Callithrix jacchus: one gene and its partner. The protein of the gene in region 1 purifies or fractionates together with the protein of each later gene. This does not show direct contact. Links are inferred from orthologs where the notes say so. Each region holds a gene or a part of one and is shown on either strand. Other genes may lie near its edges.

Region 1 (3,647 bases):
AATGGGTCCTATTTAGAAGTTAAAGTTTTACTTTTTTTATTTAATTTTTTTTTTTAGGGCAGAGTGCAGTGGTACAATCATAGTTCACTGTACCTTCAGGTGTGCGCCACCACACCTGGCTAATTTTGTAATTTTTATTTTTGTAGAGATGACAGTCTCACTATGTTGCCCAGGCTGGCTTTGAACTCCTGGCCTCAAGTGATCCTCCCACCGTGCTGGGGATTACAGGTATGAGCCACAATGCCCAGCCTAGTTTTTATTTTATTTTTTAATTTCAATGGGTTGTTCGTGGTCTCTGTCAGAGAGGAATCCCATTTAACAGAGAATCTTTTTATGGCTCTCCAGGGAAAATAAATGGCAAAATTATCTTTTCAACAAGCTCTCACTCAGAAATTACAATATACTTGCACTTCTGACAGGACTTTTAGCTTCTTTAACTTCGCTGCTTTCACTCATCTCAGTGGTTCTTATTTTTGAGATACACGATACTGAAGCAAGGGGAGAACTATCTGAGTAGCTTTCTGGCAGTCCTAATCTTTGCAGGCACAAGATTACAGGCACGTGCACCGGCCCCTCTTGCTCCTCGTTGTATAGCATTATCTTACCTCATTGTTTCAACTCTGGGATTGAGAAAGAAGTTACCTTTTCCCTGTTACTGTTAGCTGGCTGGTTTGGACTCCTGCCTTCCAAAAACTGCAGTTTCTGTAGGTGTATTTGGAAATTTATTTCACAATACAGTAACAATTTCTGACCTCACAAAATAATTTATTAACTGCCAAGAACAGTCTGTTTGATGATTGCCAGGCGTAACCATTCATTTGCTATTTCACCCTGTCTCAGCTTGACTTCTCAAATACACTTTTTCTGAGATATGTTGGGGAACTGTCTCTACCTCTAAGTTAATGGAAACACTGATTCCTAGTATTTGAACTGTTTTCCTCCAGCAGTGTCATAGTCTGTGTTTGTCGGCTTTGTCCCATGATGGTCTATTGAGGGGTGAAGAGATGCGTAATTAGCTTTCTGCCTGTTGGCTTGTACACTCCAGGATAAACTTGGCAGATCAGTCTTAACTCTTCTCACCAAGATCCAGTCCAGTGCTGGACTAGGTAAGGTATGAACACGTCAGATGTGCTTTTTATGGAGAAGTCATCTTGGTTTACATGTCAGTGTGAGTGTGTGGCAGAACGGGGCTAAAATAATATGATAATACTAACTGGATACATTTTGTGGTCTAACCTAAACCTGAGCCATTGCATAGAAGACTTGCTGTGAGCAGGTTTGCTCAATTGTAAAACCGGAAAGGAATCATTTCTCGCTTCCCCCCAAAGCTTTTTACCTCCAAACAGTGATAGCCACCCAAACATCAAAAGAACGTTTCTTTCCACTGGGGCTTCAAGAGGAGCCTACCCAAGATTTAGACTGTTTAAATTGTAAATTATAAAACAGCTGCCTCAAGCCCATTATGTTTAAGTCAAGAGGGCTAAGTGTTCTTTTACCTCGTCTCCCTAATGTGTTTATCTCAGACTTCGACCAATTTAAAGTATTTTTTCTTGCAGATCCAATTTGATAGAAGAGTGAAGTTTGCCTGGAGTGGGGATTAAATCATGGTTTTATTTGAAGTATAATTTCAGCTTGCTTAAAATGAACAGTACCGGGTTATGACTAAGAATAGCATAAACAGGCCGGGCACGGCGGCTCACGCTTGTAATCCCAGCCGTTTGGGAGGCCGAGGCAGGTGGATCACCAGGTCAGGAGTTTAGGACCCGCCTGGCCAGCATGATGAAACCCCGTCACTACTAAAAATACAAAAATTAGGCTGGGCGCGGTGACTCAAGCCTGTAATCCCAGCACTTTGGGAGGCTGAGGCAGGAGAATCATTTGAACCCGGGAGGCAGAGGTTGCAGTGAGCCGAGATAGTGCCACTGCACTCCAGCCTGGATGACAAAAGCAAAACTCGATCTCAAAAAAGAATGGCAAAAAACAAACTCAGCTCACAGATGACCTAGTCTCTTTAGCCACTAATTTCATTATATTCTCACTATAATTTCTTTGACAACAAAGGATGGGTTTGGTTTTTGCCCCTTTCTCTTTGCACTGCTTGCCTTCAGATGGCGGTATGATGGTGTTTCATTGGCCAAAGCATGGATTCATTTTGGAGGACAAGGAGGATGCAGGCACAGTGCACAGAGTGAGAGAGAAGTCCATGCATATGCTGGGGCTTATTAACTTTCCTTAATTTCATCCTGGTAACTGATGAATAGTAATTGTACTTTCCAAAATTGCTGACAATTAAAAAGTACTGATTTGCTTGTATATTTTTGTCTTTCCAGGCAAGCAGAGTGCTGGTAGCATCCCGTAATTTTGCAAATGATGCTACATTTGAAATTAAGGTAAGAAGTGTTTTACTTCGTTAATAATTTTTTCTGATACACAGCTTTACCTTTAGAATAGAACATTTTGATGTTCATGCTGAGCCATCATTTTCTTAACGTTCCAGGATCAAAGGTTCAGAGAAGTGTCACAAAAACTAGAATTTATTATTAGTGGCTTGCTCGTGTTCTGTGGGGTGAAGGGGGAGAAGCTAAAAAATAAAAATAAAAATAAAAGCTTATTCTAAAGTTTAGAATGTAACTCAGTGAGATATTTGAATAAGAAGAGTCTTAGTTGTTTCTTTGAAGGTTCTTTCAACCTGTAACTTAGTTGGCTTTTAGGGGCTTTCAGTGAAAATCATCTTAGAAAGATTTCCTTCCCCTCAAGCCCCATCTCATTGCACAGTGAGGTGTACCGATTGAAGGAACAGAGGCAATATGAAGCATCACTAATGTGCTCCTTTGCAGCTTTTCAAGTTCAATATTATTTGCAATGGAGTTAGGCCTCAGAGTGGTCAACAGTGTTTGCAGTGTAGTATGTGGAGGATAGTAACCACCTTACTCCCTTGCAGAAATGTGACCTTCACCGGCTGGAAGAAGGCCCTCCTGTCACAACAGTGCTCACCAGGGAGGATGGGCTCAAATACTACAGGATGATGCAGACTGTGCGCCGAATGGAGTTAAAAGCAGACCAGCTGTATAAACAGAAAATTATTCGCGGTTTCTGTCACCTGTGTGATGGTCAGGTGGGTGGCAGGTTTGTGATAGAGCTGTGTTATTTAGGTGTTGAAGTATGGCTTGTACTTACTGGGCTTTACCCTGCCTTAGGTGTCGAAAGCATTTGAGGCTGGTCATGTAATTTTCTTTTATTTATTTATACTGTTGAGACAGTCCCTGTCTGTCGCCCAGGCTGGAGTACAGTGGTACGATCTTGGCTCACTGCAGCCTCTGCCCCCTGGGCTCAAGCAGTCCTCTCACCTCAGTCTCCTGAGTAGCTGGGACCACAGGTACACGCCACCTCACCCAGCTAATTTTTGTGTTTTTTTTTTTTTAGAGACGGGGTCCCACTATGTTGCCCAGGCTGGTCTTAAACTCCTGGACTCAACCAGTCTGCCCACCTTAGCCTCCCAATGTGCAGGGATTATAGGGGTGAGCCACTGTGCCTGGCTGAAGCCAGTATCTTAGAATGAAAGGTAGAACGCCAAAACCCACTATGAAGCTTAGGCTATAAACCATTCATTCACACATAACATTGCCAGTGTATATACCTGTTCTTAG
Region 2 (4,171 bases), on another chromosome or scaffold:
CAGCACAACCTCCGCCTCCTGGGTTCAAGCAATTTTCCTGCCTTAGCCTCCTGAGTAGCTGGAATTACAGGCGTGCGCCACCGTGCCCAGCTAATTTTGTACTTTTAGTAGAAATGGGGTTTCTCCATATTGGTCAGGCTGGTGTTGAGCTCCTGACCTCAGGTGATCCGCCCATCTTGGCCTCCAAAAGTGCTGGGTGTGCCCGGCCCTGTCTATGTTTTTAAAATTTTAATTTTGTAGAGATAGGGTCTTGCTATGTTCCCCAGGCTGGTCTCAAACTCCTAGGCACAAGTGATTTTTTTCACTTCAGCCTCCCAAAGTGCTGGGATTACAGGCCTTTTTTCTTGTATATAATGCACCGTTTCTGTCTCTGGCTGCCTTCAAGATTTTTTCTTTGTATTCAGTTTTCAAAATTTGTTTATGATGTGTCTTGTGCATTTATTTGAGTTCATGCTGTATGGGGTTCTCTCTCAGCTGCGTAAATCTGTAAATTTATGCCTTTTGCCAAATTTGGGAGATTTGTAGCCATTATTTCTTTGAATGCTTTTCTAGCCCCTCCCTCTGCCTTCATCTGGTACTCCAGTGACATCAATATTAGATTTTTTCTTATAGTCCCACATTTCCCTGAGGCCCTGTTCTGTCTTCAAGTTCACTGATTTCCTCTGTCTTCCTTATTCTGCCATTTAATGCATGCTTTAAGTTTTTTTGTTTTGCTTAGTGCATTTTTCAGTTCTGAAATGTCTATTCTCTGTATCTTTGCTGAAACTTTTTTTTTTAAGATGGAAGTCTCACTCTGTCGCCCAGGCTAGAGTGCAGTGGTGCAGTCTCGGCTCATTGCAACCTTCCGGGTTCAAGCAGTTCTCCTGCCTCAGCCTCCCAAGTAGCTGGGATTCCAGGCATGTGTCACCATGCCCGGCTAGTTTTTGTATTTTTATAGAGACGAGGTTTCACCATGTTGGCCAGGCTGGTCTTGAATTCCTGACCTCAAGTGAGCCTCCCGCCTCAGCCTCTCAAAGTGCTGGGATTACATGTGTGAGTCACCACTCCCGGCCAAGATTGTCCTGGTCCTTGATATAAAGAGTGATCTTTGATTTGCAACCTGGACATTCTGGGTGTTGTGTTATGAGACTCTTGATCTTGTTTAAATCTCTGAGCAATGCAAGCTTCCTCTGCTGGGGCAGGGAGGGGTTGCCGCCTCACTGTTGCTGGGTGGGGTGCCTGGAGGGGAGGGGCTCCTTGTTATTGCACCTAATGGGTGTAAGAGTTCCCCATTAAGCCTTGGTGATATCACCCTGCCTGGGAAGGGAGGGGTGCTGCTTCATTACAGCTGGATGGGATTAAAATCCAGACTCCCTACCTGGTCTCCACTGATTTATCAGGAAGTGAGTTGAGGAGGGGTCATTATTCACCAGGTGGGGATGAAAGTCCCTGGCTCTATTCTCTATCAACTGAGTGGAGTAAGTATGTTTCCTGTGGAGTTTGGCTGCAGTAGAGCAATTGTTGTTTAAAACTTTAAACATTTTCCATCTTGCTGCTCTTTTCCTGGTCCTTTGGCTAGAGAGAACAGGTTTCTCTTTGTAGTTTTCTTTGTCTGTACCTGTTGGCGTTTCTGGGTTATAGGCTTCTGCAGTACCTGGTGTCTGAGACATATGAAGCAAAAGAAAATCAAGAACTCAGTGCTTGGCCAGATGTGGTGCCTCATACCTATAATCCCAGCACCTGAGAGTCCGAGAGTCGCTTGAGGACAGTAGTTTGAGGCCAGCCTGGCCAACATGGTGAAACTGTCTCTACAAAAATTAGCCAGGCGTAGTGATATGTGCCTGTAGTAGTCTCAGCTACCTGGGGGACTGAGATGGGAGAATCACTTGAGCCCAGGAGGTTGAGGCTGCAGTAAGTTGAAATCATGCCACTGCACTCCAGCCAGGGCAACACAGGGAGATCCTGACTGAAAACAAAAAAAGAGAACTCAGTGCTCTTTCTTTGGGTCCTGTGGTTCCTAGCCAGTCTGCTTCCTTCCGTCCACCTTTCAGAATCTTGTTTTGTCTTAAATGTAATGCCTCCTGTTTTTAGCTATATGTATCAGGAAACAGATTTCTTATATATGCTTTAATGAAATGTTGAAAAATTGCCCTGCTTTCCATTAAGATTTAATAATTTGCGCTCTATCAATACCTTTTATTTTTATTTTTATGTTTATTTTTTTGAGACAGAGTCTTGCTCTGTCGTCCAGGCTGGAGTGCAGTGGTGTAGTCTCCACTCACCACAACTTCTGCCTCCTGGGTTCAAGTGATGCTCCTGCCTCAGCCTACCAAGTAGATGGGATTATAGGCACGCACTACCACACCGGCTAATTTTTTGTGTTTTTAGTAGAGATGGGGTTTCACCATGTTGTCCAGGCTGGTCTCGAACTTCTGACCTCATGATCCTCCTGCCTTAGCCACCCAAAGTGCTGAGGTTAGAGGCGTGAGCCACTGCGCCCAGCCTATCAATACCTTTTAAAAGTGACTATCTACACTCTCCGCAGGCAACCTGTTTATACCACGTCAGGCATGGGCACCTCTAATGCTGTGGGGCCACATCTGAGGGAAGGAACAGAACAGTCTTCAGCCCTGCATACTGAAGCGTATTCAGAGATCTGACCAGGGAGGTGACAGTCCCTACCGGTAGTGACAGCCCATGATTGGTGAGCTAAATAGGCTTCTGCGCTAAACAATTCAGACAGCCTACTAATGTTTTGGAAGTTACCAGTTGACCGCCACTCCAAATTAGCTATGTTTAGGTTTAAATATCTTGGGAACTTGAACTTTTTATATCACTAGTTTGGCTTTTTTTTCCTGGCTAGTGATAATTTTCTTTGCTTTTTTTTTTTTTTTTTTTTTTTTTTTTAGTTGGAGTCTCACTCTGTTGCCCAGGCAGGAGTGCACTGGCACAATCTTGGGTCACTATAGCCTCCACCTCCCCCAGTTCAAGCAATTCTCCCACATCAGCCTCCCAAGTAGCTGGGACTACAGGCACAGCTAATTTTTTGTGTTTTTAGTAGAGGCGGGGTTTCACCATGTTGGCCAGGCTGGTCTCAAACTCCTGATCTCAGGTGATCTGCCCACCTCAGCCTCCCAAAGTGTTGGGATTTCAGGCGTGAGCCACCATGCCCGGCCATTTCTTTAGTCATAAATACACCTTCAAGTTTTCAAAGTGCTTTCATATTTGTGTTATAATTACAAAAAGACATTATGAGGAAGTTAGGAGTAATTACTGTCTCCACTTGATGGCCCGGAAAGCTCACACAGTGACTTGGTGTCACGCAGGCTCCGTACCTGCATGCTCCACACTTGTTTCCATCTAGCAATGAAAAAAAAGCTTTGCAGTTTGAAAGTAATCCTCACTACGTCCCTGTCCCTCAGCTTATGTGTAATGGTATGTCACTAGTGAAAGATATTAAATTCTTTGAGATTCTCAGCCAATAAGGGAGAAGTGATATCTGTACTCTGTCTGTACATCAGTTTTTTTTTTTCTTTTGTACATCAGTTTTTTTGTATTACTACTAAAACAAAAATAATTGCAGGCATGAGATAACAGCCATTGGCCTGTAGCAAGCATTGTGCTCATGATTCATCAGAAGAATTAAGTCTGAAATTGAAAAAAAGAAAGTGGATGAGTTGTCCTTTAAAATGGTTGCCAGATAGCACACATAGGGTGTAAGGATTAGGTAATGATGCATGGTTTTTTCCCTCAAAGACTCATTTGCTGCGAAACAGCAGACTGTTTTTGCTAGGTCTTGCCTTTTTAATTACCTCTCTGCCTAGCCAACATATATTGATAGGTGTCAGTAGTCGGTTTATTTCTCTCATTCTGTGTGCCCTGGGATAGGGTGCCTCCTGCCCATCTGGGGACATTGGAGACACAGACCTCAAAGGCTTCATATTTCAGACAGAATCCTATTTAAGTATATCATTTCCTAAGGGCAGGGCATTTAACACTTAAAAACAAATTTTCCTTTGGTTTTTAATTGTTTTCTCTTTACGTCTTATTTTTCCCAAAAGTATGTGTTTATTCTTGCATCTTGAAAATGGATTACAACTTGTATCATTTTTGTTTACAGTGATAAGTTCACTTAAATTTTTTCTTACACATTAAAAAAATAACTTCATTGAGATGTAATTCAAATGCCATA

Evidence for each region.
Region 2: the proteins of PDHA1 (region 1) and OGDH fractionate together in Homo sapiens (co-fractionation; 3 studies listed by BioGRID). This does not show direct contact. The link is inferred for Callithrix jacchus from reciprocal best matches to the Homo sapiens genes PDHA1 and OGDH.

Annotation. Positions count from the first base shown.
Region 1 is NC_133524.1:19,820,601-19,824,247, forward strand, and holds part of PDHA1 (pyruvate dehydrogenase E1 component subunit alpha, somatic form, mitochondrial), read left to right. Parts: intron 1-2,330; coding exon 2,331-2,390; intron 2,391-2,941; coding exon 2,942-3,115; intron 3,116-3,647. UniProt on the Homo sapiens protein: The pyruvate dehydrogenase complex catalyzes the overall conversion of pyruvate to acetyl-CoA and CO(2), and thereby links the glycolytic pathway to the tricarboxylic cycle.
Region 2 is NC_133512.1:12,701,868-12,706,038, forward strand, and holds the start of OGDH (2-oxoglutarate dehydrogenase complex component E1), read left to right. Parts: upstream 1-1,312; 5' UTR 1,313-1,418; coding exon 1,419-1,457; intron 1,458-4,171. UniProt on the Homo sapiens protein: 2-oxoglutarate dehydrogenase (E1o) component of the 2-oxoglutarate dehydrogenase complex (OGDHC). Participates in the first step, rate limiting for the overall conversion of 2-oxoglutarate to succinyl-CoA and CO(2) catalyzed by the whole OGDHC.